2 linked regions of the Mus musculus genome follow. The main gene of each other region encodes a partner of the protein of the gene in region 2 in a complex. Links are inferred from orthologs where the notes say so. Each region holds a gene or a part of one and is shown on either strand. Other genes may lie near its edges.

Region 1 (7,411 bases), on a different chromosome or scaffold from region 2:
GGACGAACAGGAGAATTAGAAAGGGATGGAGTTGCTCATTGTATCTCTGATCACTGTACACACCATGCTTTCTAACGAATCTACTAAGACAGTGTTTAATTAGTAAGAGGGATAGCCAATATTTCTGGCTGCAAAATCAATTTTGCAAAATGCAAATGTGCTTCCTGCAATAACAAGAAACCAACAGAACTTTAATTTAAAAGATATAAACGCCTAACAGATACAGCAGCCTCAAGCTATCAAGTACCTGGGAACATGTCTAACAAAAGATGTATTCATCAAGAGAAAATTAAGAGCCTAGCTGATGGAGACATATGCCTTTAATCCCAGTACTTAGGAGGCAGAGGCAGGTAGATTACTGAGTTGAGACCAGTCTGGTCTATAGAGTGAGTTACAGGACAGGCAGAACTGCATAGAGAAACCCTGTTTAAATATATATATATAAAATCAGAGAGAGGAGATGGGGAGGGGAAAGGGGGGAGAGACAGAGACAGACAGACGGACAGATAGATGTGGACAGAGACAGAGAGGGACAGAAACAGAGACAGAGAGGAGATATATTATTATGAATTCATTCTCTTAAAATAGTTACAGAGCTCTAACAACATAGTTACAGAAACCCTACAATGAAAAGAGGTACAATGTTCATGAAAGACTTAACACTACACATTCCACCCTCTAGAGGGCAACAAGGAGCTTGACAATAACAACGGGGACTTGGAAATCAGAGTAAACTCTAAACTCAGTAAACTCTGGTCTTCCACCAGGGGCAGTGATCTGGGGAGACCTAGGTAGCCTTGGATGGAAGGTCTAGAAAGCCCTGAATCACAGCAAGGTATCAACATGGGAGGAGCAGGGATTCCTGTAGGAAGCAACTCAATGACAGCAACCCACCCAGAGACCCATCGAAGGCAGAAGCAGGGATGCTGGGGACCCTGTTGCCTAGCATCCCTCTGTTGTTTGACTCCACCGCTGCCAGCCACAGCACAGAAGGACCTGAGGTTCCATCTCACACTGCTTTTAGACTCTGGTGTGTATTTATCTTGTTTGTAGAAATCGCTACAAGCATCCACACTGTTCCATCACTCCTTTTGAACCTTAGTTTCCTCCCCTGAAAGTAAGAACAGGTATTCCTGCCTCCCTGTTAGGAGGAAACAAATACTAAAACACTCTTGTAGAGTGTTGTCTAAATACAGGGCATTCTTCTGGCTTGTACTATTGCTTCTTTGTAGACTGTGGGTAAGAGAATAACATTCTATTTCTTAGGCTGGACAACAGTATCCTTCCACTATCTGTCTCTCTCTCCAAAGGCATCACTGAGTCCTTTACTCTGGTCATAACATTTCATCAATTAGTTCTCACAGCAAACCCTAGGGGAGGTGTGTGCTATCCGGCTCCATTCTACAGAAGAAAAAGCCAAGGCTCAGTTCTCCATTAGGCATCCATAACTGCCTTTCGTAAGAAAGACACCGTCCCTGCTCTACAGAGTCATCCTCTAGTTGGAAACCCATCCAAACCTCACAGATGAACTGGCAGACCCCCACATCCAAACTCAACTCCAGTTGACGCCAGTGGCTACACTTTCAACTCATCTCTGGAGTTGCCTTCATCTTCCTCTCCCACTCCATCCTCTTTAACGACACAGTGGTTGCTAGCACATTCTTCTAGCTGAAACAAGGTGCAAGGGCCCTTGCCATGAAAGCAAGTGAGAGCTGTTAGCTTCTTCGGTCCATGTGATCCTCCTGCAGGATCATTGGAGAATTACTAAGGGATTGATGAATGCACACAAAAGGCGAGGCACCCCACTCCCTACCCCACCCTGAGCAGCATCAGGAGCATTGTCTCCTAAGAGTGTGTGGCTGAGTCCTCTGCCACCATTAATGGCAGAAGTGAGTCACTTATAAGTAAGATACAGAAGCTTTGTTATAATTACATCCCGAGACTCAGCAATGCTCCGCATCACTGTGAAAGAGAGGGCAGCGGGTGACTGGGGCTTGAATGATCCTCTGCCAGGTACGGCTTTCAGATAAAGCGTCTTGGATCAGGAGCAGTTACAGCTAATGCCCAGCCTGAATGCTAATGAGAGTTATTTACAATTGCATGTAATTCTTTGCCATTTATACGCTCCAGCCGCTCCCCCCACTCTTCCCGTCCTTTCTTTGCCTGTCTATCTGAGTTAATCTTGAGAAACAGACACTGGTAAGGATGATTCATGGCCATTTCACAGATGAGGATACTGGAGTCCACGGTTATTCAGGTCTCAGGGACGAAAATGAGTTTCGACCTTCAGTATGCTTCCCTGGGAGGGAGAGCCTGCAGAACTCTTTATGCTTTCTCCTTGCTCGGAAGGCATGTGGTATCCCCACAGCCAGCCGCACGCACCCAGAGGCAGTGGCTGGTGTCCTCTGTTGGGACAGCTGTGGCCAGATCTTGTGAAATAGACCAATAGACCTCACACATGCCCTTTAACCCTGTGACTGTCAACTCGTGCCTCTTCCTTGGAGAACCCAAGCAATGACCACACAGTTCAAGTCCAGGCTGAGAGACAGGAAACAACTTCTCGGCCCTCCAATCCAAGACTCCCCAAGTCCACCCCAGCCTGACCACATCCGTTTAGAAAACATGTGTTTGAATACCGCCCCGGATCCATACCACACAGGAGCACAGAACTGAGCCTGCCAGGAGAAGGAGACAGGTCTGGGTGGCAGTGAGAATGACAGCAATGTCTGGAGCGTCCCCGGGGCCTGGCCCTGAGGTGGCTGGCTGAGGAGTCCTCTACCTGTTAGAATTAGAGGCTACAAGAAGGACCTTTTTACCATATACAACATCTAACTAGATCTGCCCCATTTTTACAGCTGAGAAAGCCATGAGGCTTGGGGCTAGAGATGTAGCTCAGTGGCCGAGTATTTGTCTAGCACGAACAAGGCTCCCCAGGTGGATTCCCAGCATCACAGAACAAAACCAACACAGCAAGGGGTGCACAATGTCCAGGAGCTCAGAGGCTTGCCTCGCTGGGTCTGTCAGTGTCACAGTGACAACTGCTGCTACTACTTTGGTGAATTACAAGGTATCTTTGCAGTGCTGTATCAATGTGGCATGGTTAATTCCTCCACCCCCGCGCAGGGAAGAAGGAACCATGAACATCTCCAATCAAAACATGGGGAAACAGATATATGTCAACGGCGCATAAGAGACAGCATGATGACCGGACCCAGAAATGTACCTTCAACCTCTCCGCCATGCCTTGGTACTGAGGAAAAGCCACGGTGCCTCTGCCAGGCGTTCCTTGACTATAGAAAGGAGTGTAGGCAGGAGAGTTCACTCACAAATGCCTCCCCACAACCCTCAGCTCAGGGCTGGGGACCCCGTGCAGGCCACGACTGCCCAGTGTTGGGGGAGGGGTGCTAGGATCGTGGCAGGCAGCACGGCTCTGAAATCATAAATGGGGAATACCCAGGTTTTGCGGGTCTTTGACATATTTCAAAACAGCATCAGTCAAACCCTGTCTTCCACCAGGAGCAACGTTCTGGGGGCAGCTAGGTGGCCCTGATGGAAGGTCCAGCAAGTCCTGAGATACAGCAGGGTATCAACATGGGCGGAGCAGGGATTCCTAGAAAGCTACTCAATGACAGCAACCCACCCAGAGCCCCATCGGAGGCAGAAGCAGGGATGCTGCGGACCCTGTTGCCTAGCATCCCTCTATTGTTTGTCTCCACCGCTGCCAGCCACAGCACAGAAGGACCTGAGGTTCCATCCGCCTCTTGAGTCTCACTGATAATTTAAGATACAGGCAAGATTGGTTGGTACTCAATCCACTCCACCACGGACCAGCTGGGCAACTCTAAGCAATCTATTGAACCTCTCTGAGTGTCCACCTATCGCTCAATAACGGTACCTTGCATGGCTGCTGTATAAACTATGTTAATCCATAACCATCTCATAACCATGGGGGGGGGGGCTCTTTCTCTGTCTCCAAGGATTGCCGGTGGCCTTCAGGCCCCCAAGAGTGTCGGATCTCCACCTACTCTCTCCTTTTTGTTCCAGTAACACACTTCACCCCTGGTTCAGGGTCCTGCCCTTCCTCCTCCCCACCCCCCACCCCCCAATAACAGAACGCGCTCTCAGAGCAGTCAGCCTGGGGATCTTCCAGTTCCCTCAGCTCCATTCCGTCTGGAGGTGGGAGCCCCCTGTCGGAGGAGAGCCACCCTGCCTGGAGCAACCCTGTGTCTCCATCGCCCAGGCTAGCAAGCGCCTCAAAGGTGGCTTCTGTAAAGATCAGTTGTGCTCTGATTCAAGACTCTAACTTTCAGAGCAACACGGCGTAAATTGCAGAATTTGGTATCCCCTAACGCTCTCTGGGAAAAGGCAGCCCTCAAGGATCTTCTCTGCCATCAGAACACACCCTGGCCACAGTATCAAGTCTTCTGGCTCGGCCAGGAAACGACGATAAAGCCGGCTAGGAAAGGAGGGAGCGCTGGCTCAGACGCTTCTCATACCCAGACACCTGGTTTGGGTTCCACCTAGCTAAGAAGCTTGGATTCATCCAATTCAGTCTCAAGGCTGTTCTCTAAGAGACAACTTTCCCTCCCCAAGCCTCAGTTTCCTCCTCTGTAAAGTGGGTATACTAGTAGTACCTGGGTCCCGGAGATTCAGAAGGATTTGAGATAGTGGATGTCCGGAGCTTGGCACGGAGATCGCACCTCAACCCAGAGTCTGCGTCCACGGTTAGCATCAAAGCCAAACCCTGAGGAATCTCGGGGAGCCGTTGAGGAGGCCCCCTGGCCCAGAAATCGGAGGCGGACTCTAACCGGTGAGCCCGGCCCCAGCTCCGGGAAGCCACAGGTGTTTGTGCTTACGGGCATAGCAGCCACAGCTCCGATACCCTGCCCAGGCCGCTAGAGCATCCGGCGCGCCCACCTCGTGCGGCCACCTGCGGGATGTCCCCACCGCCCTGCGGGGGCGCGGAACTCAGAGCTGGGCGTGCGCGCATCCTTGCCCTCCTCCCGCCGCCCGCCACCGGGTTCCCGCCCCTGCCCGCGCTGCGCTCCGACTCACCCGCGCCAGCTCCGGGGAAAGTTTGGCGGCGGCGGCCAGACTGCTCGGTGCGGTGGCGGAGGCGGCCGCGGGGGTGGCGGGAGCACGCGGAGGCGGCCTCGGGGGAGGAGCCGCTGAGAGGCCCGCCCACCAGCAGCCCCAGGGCACCCTCCCCCGCCCATCTTCTACCGCCGCGCCCCGCATCTGTGGCGGAGCCCTGAGCTTGGCAAGAAGCCAAGGATGGATCGGAAGCCTGGCGACAGCCCTCCGACACTGCCACCGCATGCTAACCCGGGGACACGCAGAGCCACAGACCAGACCTCAGATAAGGAGGAGCTGACAGGATTCTTCGCAAATTCAACCGCAGGTGGACCAAGGGACTAGTTGGGTTTTTGTTTTGTTTTGTTTTGTTTTGTTTGGGTTTTGTTTTGGTTTTTTGTTTTTTAAATTAGTGACACTGATTGATCCGGATCACCAAGACTCGGGAGGTTTAGAACCGCACAACCACTGTTTCTCTAGATCCTGAAGAATGAATGCGCTCTCGCCCTCTCCCTCCCTCTTTCCCTCCTTCCCTCCTGTCCTCATCCTGCAAGTGCTATGCTGAAACTCAGGGCCTTGCGCTGAGCTATCCCGACCTTGTTCAACTCTCACTGTACCATTACACTTAGGAACCTGTGCCGGCTAAGAGGAGAAGGCGAGAGTGTGTTTTTGTGTGTGTGTGTGTGTGTGTGTGTGTGTGTGTGTGTGTGTTGGGGAAACTTAAGGAACTGTTTTTTTGTTTTTTGGGTTTTGTTTTTCTGAGCTAGGAGAGGGCGTTTCTCCTTCTTTGCTAGGGAAAACCCTTTTAACATTCAATTGTGGCTTCAGATGGCAACAGTCAGGGAAGGGAGAACAACTGAGGAAGGGAAGTGGCTCCTCTTTGCTATGACACCGTGCCCCCTAGAAGGGGCTCATCCTCCCGCAGTGGTATGTAGTTGTGGGAATGCAGGCCCAGCCCTGTGTGGCTCAGTTCCAGACTTGTATGGATGTCTTAGTCCCCTCCTCGTAGCCCTGATTTAAATCTCAAACTACACCAGAAAAAAGAAGCAGTCATCAGCCCTATTTATAGATGATGGGCAGGTTTTGTAGCTTCTACCATGTCCTCACCGAGAACTGCACTTCTAGCCTACCCAGCCCAAGTCCAAAGGCCAAAGTTTTTAACACAGAGGGGCGGAGGACAAGTTAATGATGTCTTTTACACAAAGGGCTTACTTGGTAAGCACCTCGATATAGCCCTTGACCTTGAGCCTGTCTGTGCCTGCCTGGAAGGTGGGACTCCAGACTCATTTGAAATGCCCTTAGGAACCCAGGCAACAGGTGGCTGAATTCAGGTCAGCTGGCAGACCTGGGTGCCAACCCTGCCAGACCCTGACCCTCTTTGACCTGTACCTCCAGAGACCAAGGAGCCCAGGAATCCACAGCACGTTCTACTTCCAGTTGCTACTCTAGGGCCTCCATATTTACACTTTGTGGGACTAATGCACTGTTTGGAACTGAAGGAGTGACCAGGATCGCACCTGTTATAAACTGTAAGGCAAGATATTTCCTCTTCACAGCTGTGGAGTTTACAGGAGTTGGGGCGTATGGCAGAGAGCCTTGGAAATCATCTCTCTTCTTCCTGAAAGTCAGCAGCGCCCGATAACTTGGAATTCTGCTTGAGAAGGTTTCACTTCCTAAGGCCTATTATGGTCTTGTTCTACCCATGGGATTTTTAGAAAAATCAGCATTTTAGAAACAGTGTATCAGGCATTATTTGAAGCTTCTGTTGTTTTTTGGGTTTTGTGTTTTGTTTATTTTGTTGTCATTTTGTGACTGACAGAGCATAGGGTAACCTGGGCCATGTCTAGCTGAAGTCAGCCAACTACCAAGAGGTAGGTAGCAAGTGAAAAAACAAGGCTAGTCCTCTTGTCCTCCTGTCCTCCTGTCCTTCCATCCAGTGGAGGCTCTTCCCTGAGAGGAGTCAACTTGCCTGCTTCTCAGAGCAGCTCAAAGGGAGGCTCTGTCTTCATCTGGTTTGCAAATGAGAAAACTGAGTGTTCTTGATTGGCCAAGCCTGAGTCACATGCTGATGGCTGGTCTAGTCAACTGCTCTTCAGACACTTAAGATTAAAAGAGGGCAAGAGATGGCTCCCCAGATTCAGGTGTGATGAGCAGAATGTGGCATTGGATCTGGGGATTGCAGGAGTCCCCTCTCTCCAGAACTGTTTTTGGGATTGGGTCAGTGTGTGTGTGTGTGTGTGTGTGTGTGTGTGTCTGTGTGTCTGTGTGTGTGTGTGTCTGTGTGTCTGTGTGTGTGTGTGTGGTGTGTGTCTGTGTGTGTGTCTGTGTGTGTCTGTGT
Region 2 (6,840 bases):
ATAGATCCTTAGCACCAAATCTTGTGAGAAGACATCTGGAGTGGGGCCAGCCAAACTGCAGCTCAACAAACACAAACCTGGCAGTTTAAGAACCAACCAGGTCCAGGCCCAGTGCCTCCAGCAAAAAGGCAGTTAGACAAATGAGCGGGCCACTGTGCACTCAGGCTGGGGAGAGGCCTCTTACACAACTTGAAAGTTGTTTTCTTTTTCTTGAAGTTGGTGCCACGTGGTACAGTGTTCAGGAGTAGATTGCACTGCTTTCAACAACAAGACATCCTTAAAGTGGTGTGATCCCCAAAGAACCTGGCTAAATCACTGTTAATCAGTTAGGAAACTGACCCCAGCAATTCCCTACCGGGTAGCTGAGCCTCCTCATCTTGTATCTGTACTTAACTCCTGAATTGGATCCAAAATACAAATCACAAACAATTCCAGGATCTCCATTTGTTTTCTGTTTCTATAATTAGTGCTTCCAGCTTTTAGTACAAACTTTTGAGAAAAATCAGGAACTTTGCTGGAGGAGGTGTGGGGGCTGGGGCCTGTGGGGCTGCTTTTCAGTTCCTTGAAAGAATATATAACTGTGTGTATTAAGTCATGACATGCTATATATGTAGCAACAAGTCCCCATGGGAGAGTGAGCCTAGGAAAGGGTCACTGTCCCCCTCCCATCATGAAGCTGAAGTGCCTTATAAGGTACTGAACAATAAAAAGTCTGTGTATTTTATATGAGGAGGCCAGTATGTGTTTGCTACACTGTGTGCGCCCCTAAATGCTTAGAGTTCATATCCGTGAGTTATACCACTTTATTACAAGTAAGTATTTTGCCTTGCTCTAGCAGGTATTAATTGTTTATGTAAAACAGTATCAGTGGTCTATAAAGTGCAATTAAAAGCTTTATAAAACAAATGAACCAGACTGGAACTCTCTGACTACTGGTGGGTTTGTAGCTTCCTGGCTTCTGAGCTTCTGTTTTGCCATGGGGGGACAGCTACTTACTACTGGGCACAGTCAATCAGCTGGTACTCATTGGAGCGCTCGTAGCAGGCACGCACTCCCTCATCCTCCCACAGAGCCTTGGCATGCTCATAGAATTCCTGAAAGAGAACCCAGGAAAAACGTTGGCTGACAGACTGAGCTCAAACCAATCAGGGACCCCACCCCTGGAATTCTAAGGCCATCGCTCGCTATGTGAGTCCAAGTGTGAGCCCCCGGGTTAACCAGCGCTTGGAAAGAGCCTGCAGTTCTGTTAAACTCCCAGAAATCTATATAATGAATTAGCATGCTTTCATCTCTGGGGAGTGCTCACAGTCTTGGGTGGCTGCTTCTGTTAGTCTTGTGAGGGGTGGGAGCAAACCAAATGAGTAAACTCCCCCTAGAATTATGTGTACAGGAGGGATATGTACTACCCTGTGGGAGGGACATGGGCCAAGGTTAGAATATTGTCCAGATATCAGAGTAGCAGATGTCAATGACATCAGATGCATTGTGGGTAGGCTGCCATTTTGTCTCTGTGAATCATGGGAATCAGATGACTATAGAATCCATGCTGTGTTTCCCTGTTGGGAGGGTTGGTTTTTGTTGTTGCTGTTGCTGTTGTTCTTATTGTTTTAATCAACAGCTATTTTTTTTTTAATGTACCTGCCTGTACTAATTTTTCTCACAAGTTTGTAGCCAAAACCCATCTAAAAAACACAAACCCCACAAAAGCTTAAGAAGAGGCAGCAATGACTTCTTAACTTTAGACAAGTCTCTTCTTTTGGCTTTAAAAATCTTTGCTCCCCCCACGAAGGGTTAAAGTGTACATATGCTTGACGCAGGGCAGTTCTACCCTCTCTAAAAAAAGCTTTTAGAAAGCCAAGAGACCCTTGTCAAGAGGGTCAGGCTCCCGGCAAAGGGCTGATGAGAACAATTTTTTTCTTATAATGTTCCATTTTGTAATTTATGTTTAGATCTGAACATTGGAAGGTGCATATTTGTACTAGGCTGGATTAACTGGACAATTAGGACTTGTGTGCCATGTGTAACAAACATGTGGTTTTGTCTGTCCTCATGTGTATGAGGGGAATAATTGAGCTTGCCTTAGCTCAGGACCTCTCCTCCATAAAAAAAAACTCACTATCTGATAAATGGAGGACTAGGTTGAGGTCTAGAAAAGGTGATGGAACTTTGTTCATCCATTTTGGACAAAGCCCTAATCATGTCTTTATCATCCTTTAGTCTTAGGCATATGCCTGGAGTTAACTTATGCATTCACACGGCAGGTATGTGTCTGGTCACTCTGGCCTGATGCAAGTCTGGCCCTCGTGTTCCCACTGGGACTAAGGTGAGAGGGGCAGAGGAAACCAGGGTTAGGGTGGAGCTTACAGGTGGGAAGTCAAAGTTCGGCACGTTCATCACGCTCAGAATGTAGTCCACTCTGAACTGGTTCTCAGGGTTGGCCAGCTCCACAGGGGGCACCAGGTTGCTCATGGCGGCCACAATGGTCTGAAAACAGTTTAGCAAATTGGTCAGGCGTGGGGGTGGGGGGGGCAGCACCGTGGGGCGAGGGGCTTGCTAAAAGATAAGAGCAAGGAGCTAGACACATACTTCAATGGCCTCCTTCAGGTTGTTTTTGATGTCCTGCACTTTAGTGGCCTTCTCACTACAGTGGGATTGAAAGGAAAAAAAAAAGAAAATCATATTGCATCCTGCCCACCAGGGTGTTATCGTCATTGAGACACGTCAACTAAAAAGCATAGTATTCTGTTTTCCAAGGAATTGTGGGCTAGATCTATAGATTGAAGGCATCCAAATAAAAATAAATCATAATTTCCCAATCATGTCCTGAGGACAGGCCTGATAAGGCTGGGTTAGAGACATGGCATCGAGATCTTGATTAACTGGACCAGAAATTGCACCTGGTCTACTGTCCATTCCAACCACACCCTGCTGCTTCCTGCGTGGCTCTTGATTAGCACAGGGAGGGTTGTATGGAGGTAGGGTTAGTACATGCTGAACTTGGGATTCAGTAGTTTGTGAGACCCAGAGGTGACAAGTGTTTATTATTGATATTAGGGTTTTCCATTTCCATATTTGTAGATCTAATTATTTAAGTATCTATGCATCTGTCACCAGGGAGGGAAGATGTTGTTTGGGGTTCTGTGGCTCACAGCACTTTTGAACAGGCCCCCAGTTGTGGCTAGGAGTCCTGGGTCCCCACATTGTTGGTGGGCATTGGGTTCATGGATACTGGAGGAGGAGTTGGCTAGATGTTTGCTTATTTAAACCAGCCTCTGGGATAACTTCTGTGGCCTTTCTGGGATGATTTGTATGCAGTCAGAGTCAGCGATCCCACAGGTCACAGGTCACATCTTCTGGTTTTGGGGGTGGATGGTGTCCCCCCCAGAAGGAATGCTAATTTATGGAGGTTACAGTGGTTCAAAATGCTGTGTCTTTTAGGAGACAGCCTATATGCCAGGCACAGCCATAGAGAATCTCGAGCTTGTACTTAGGGGAGCAGCAAAGCCCCACTTCCCTGCTTGGAGCAGACTCCATTTTGTCTGAGCCTAATCTTCTGCATGGCCAATGGGGGATTAGAAGACCAGCATGCACTGCACCCTCAGGGTGAGGCCTGGTAGCACAGAACAGGGCATTGGAGAGGAACAGACCCTTTCTGATAAGGAAACTGAGGTAGAGGACTAGGTGGCAGTGACAGAGGTAGGGCAGAGGTGCTTTTACTGACATTAAATTGAAGTCACAAGATAGCGAAAGTTAAATCACGCCCCCTCCCCATGGAACAGGGTAGAAAATTAATTAGTAAAGTTGCAAGATGGGGACCAGAGGCTACTATAGCCAGGAGGGGTGGCAGGCAGGCCTCAGGTGGAGATCTGGGGGGCCATGTGCCTGACAGAGGTGTAGAGATCTTGGGGCATGTGGATACCTGCCAATAGGGTGGGGTTCTGGGGGGTCATGTGGATATCTGCCAATGGAGTGGGGGTCATGTGGATACCCACCAATGGGGTGGGGGTCTGGAGGATCATGTGGATATCTGCCAATGGAGTGGGGGTCTGGGGGTCATGTGGATACCCACCAATGGGGTGGGGGTCTGGAGGATCATGTGGATATCTGCCAATGGGGTGGAGGTCTGGGAGGCATGTGGATATCTGCCAATGGGGTGGGGTTCTGGGAGTCATGTGGATACCCACCAACGGGGTGAGGGCCTGGGGGTCATGTGGATATCTGCCAATGGGGTGGGGGTCTGAGGGATCATGTGGATATCTGCCAATGGGGTGGGGTCTGGGAGGCATGTAGATATCTGCTAATGGGGTGGGGTCTGGGAGGCATGTAGATCTCCTAATAGGGTAGGGGTCTGGGAGGCATGTGCATTCCTGCCAATGGGGTGGGGGTCTGGGGGTCATATGTATACCCACCAATGGGGTGGGAGTCCGTGAGGCCATGTGCATACCCACCAATAGGGTGGAGACTTGGGGGACATGGGGATACCTGCCAATAGAGTAGGGGTCTGGCATCATGTGGATACCCACCAAAGGGATGGGAATCTGGAGGTGCCCACCAATAGTGGTGATCTGGGGGTTTCTGGGGTACCCACCAAGAGTGGGGGTCTGGGGGTCATGTGCATGCCTGTAAGTTGGGTGGGGTTCTGGGGTCATGTGCATGCCTGCAAATTGGTTGGGGGTCTGAGGCCATGTGAGTGCCTGCCAATAGAGTGGGAATATGGGGGTCATGTTCATGCCCACCAATAGGACCACACCCAAAGAACCCATTCTTTCAACAAAGACTTATCATAGCTGATATTTGGGGCTTTCTTTCCATGCAGGCTTGTGTATTTTGGGAGGGGCCCTGTGTTCTGAATGATCTCACTATATATTTTTTATTGGTGTCCATCTCTTAGGTGAGGGCCTGCAAGGTTTAGAGGTTGGGGGTGTTCTCAACAGGAGGGAGGGGGCGAGAGCTCGGCTACCAGGATTTTGACATGGCCATGACAGTGGGAAAATCAGAGCCCAACCCCTGCAAGCTGCCTCTAGCTCCACACTGTAATTAGAGCAAGCCCACCACTCAGAACAGGAAAAGAAGGCAAGAGGAAACCCTGAGTCCCCATGGCCACTGCAGGCAGGAGGGGCTATCCTGGGGCTGGGGCAAGCACTCAGGATGTGGGATCTGTACACACCCAAAAGCTGCTTGGGGCCCACAGACTCTTAAAGCTCCAGGTACCACCCAGTGTTTTAGAGACACGGCGTGCCCACCCTCAGAGGGGCTGATTCTGTTACGGTGTGAGAGGGGCGGCGCACGTTGAAGCTCAGCTCTGAAGTTATGCATTTCTGAGTTGGTTTTAGACTCTGGGACTAGCTATAGATGTCGGAGTCTAGAAGCATGTGTTTGATGCCCCCAGTACTCTAATGGAGAGTTCAGAGGAGCCTCCCCTATCCTGCCTTGGGGCTAATCTACTCTGTTTTTAAAAAATGGCTTCCTGCCATTGGTACTGAGCCCCAGATGCCTGGTTTTAAGGCCCCATAACAAAAAGAAATGAGGCTAGCTGGGTATTAACTACCCCCGTCGACATACAGGTAGAAGGAAGCATTTCCCCAGGGAAGAGTCTCCATTCAGCTTGATATTTCGTTCTAAGTAGTAGTATGATAATTGGAAAGCTTCCAGTCTTAAAATACAGATATTCTGAGAACGTGTTCAGCATTCATCTACGTATGTGAATAGGTGTGGGAGTGTATCCAGTATAAAACAGCTAAAATAGAAAATCTAAAATCTAATTCGGGCGTGTAGTACTAAAACAAACCTCTTCATTGAAGAGATTACTATGTAGATGAAGCCATCTTGCTGGGGCCAGCAGGTTTATCCTCATTTGTAATACTGCTTAATGAATTTAACGTTGATTGTGAAATTCAGAGAAAATTCCTTAGATGTCTCTAAACTACTTAACAGAGGCAAGATGTGTGCCCGGTTTCGGGATTCTAACTGACTGGAAAGTTGGAGTGGGCGGTATCTATAGGATGATGCTCCCCTCCCCGCTCCCCCCCCCCAAAGTGTAAGGCAGATTAGTGGGGTTAGCATTTTGTTTAGTAGGTCCTGCCCCTCTCCTGTTAAGTGGTAAGGGAAGGCTATGTGATACCCATCCTCCTCCTCTCTACCCTATCTTTGTGCTTGTGGGGAAAAGACAGACAAAAGAGCAGACAGAAGACAGACGCAAGATACAGGGATTGCTGAAACATGCAGAGAGTTTTATTTATCAGGAGCGTTAATAGTTATTTTTACTTGTAGAGTCATAGGAAGAAAGACGTGCAGGTATTAGTAAGGTTGAAGGGGTTAGCACAGCACACAATATATAGGAGGCTCTCTCAGTAGGGGCTTGCCACACTTCTCGGATGCCAACTTTTGGTACAGTAGATTATCAATATATCGATGCCTTTTCTGATTGCTGTTCTACTATGCTGTTGCCAATTAAAGACTTCATCCCATCTTTCTGTTTTTAACTTACGCCTAAAGGTTAGGTTAGGGACCCCTCCCCCCTCCCCCACCCCCCCCCATCCCCAGGAAAACAGAATAGTATTCTTATTAGTAGTTTCCTAAGACCGGGCAATTCCAGCATGCAAATTGGGATAACTGGGGTAGGACATAGCGAAGATGGAGGACTGTAGCCATCATCTAGTGGGGGTAATAGACTCTAAAAGAAACAGATGAACAAACATGTGTCAGTCACTTTGTCCCCGACCCCCAGATCCTTTGACCCGCCCGTGCCCGGTCTCAGAAGTCATTCCTCGTCCATGTTCTAGGCTGGAAGCTGCTCTATGGATTGACATGAGAAACAGCCCCTGCATCCTGCATGCTAGT

What was found. The genes of interacting proteins can lie anywhere in the genome.
Region 1: the proteins of Gnas (region 2) and Hrh1 are in contact, whole or in part, in a cryo-EM structure (PDB 9LRB), measured with the Homo sapiens proteins. The link is inferred for Mus musculus from reciprocal best matches to the Homo sapiens genes GNAS and HRH1. Residues at the interface, in NP_000507.1 of Homo sapiens: Gln35, Arg38, Ala39, His41, Lys216, Val217, Asn218, Phe376, Cys379, Arg380, Asp381, Ile383, Gln384, Arg385, His387, Leu388, Gln390, Tyr391, Glu392, Leu393, Leu394; in NP_000852.1 of Homo sapiens: Asp124, Arg125, Ser128, Val129, Gln130, Pro132, Leu133, Arg134, Leu136, Lys137, Arg139, Thr140, Ile213, Ala216, Val217, Gln219, His220, Cys221, His223, Lys412, Ala413, Gln416, Leu417, Cys471, Asn472.

What each region holds. Positions count from the first base shown.
Region 1 is NC_000072.6:114,395,643-114,403,053, reverse strand, and holds the start of Hrh1 (histamine H1 receptor), read right to left. Parts: upstream 5,119-7,411; 5' UTR 5,056-5,118; intron 4,969-5,055; exon of another isoform or gene 4,635-4,968; intron 1-4,634. UniProt on the Homo sapiens protein: G-protein-coupled receptor for histamine, a biogenic amine that functions as an immune modulator and a neurotransmitter.
Region 2 is NC_000068.7:174,337,454-174,344,293, reverse strand, and holds part of Gnas (protein GNAS), read right to left. Parts: intron 6,674-6,840; exon of another isoform or gene 6,204-6,673; intron 2,645-6,203; coding exon of another isoform or gene 2,642-2,644; coding exon 2,587-2,641; intron 2,485-2,586; coding exon 2,365-2,484; intron 1,095-2,364; coding exon 997-1,094; intron 1-996. UniProt on the Homo sapiens protein: Guanine nucleotide-binding proteins (G proteins) function as transducers in numerous signaling pathways controlled by G protein-coupled receptors (GPCRs).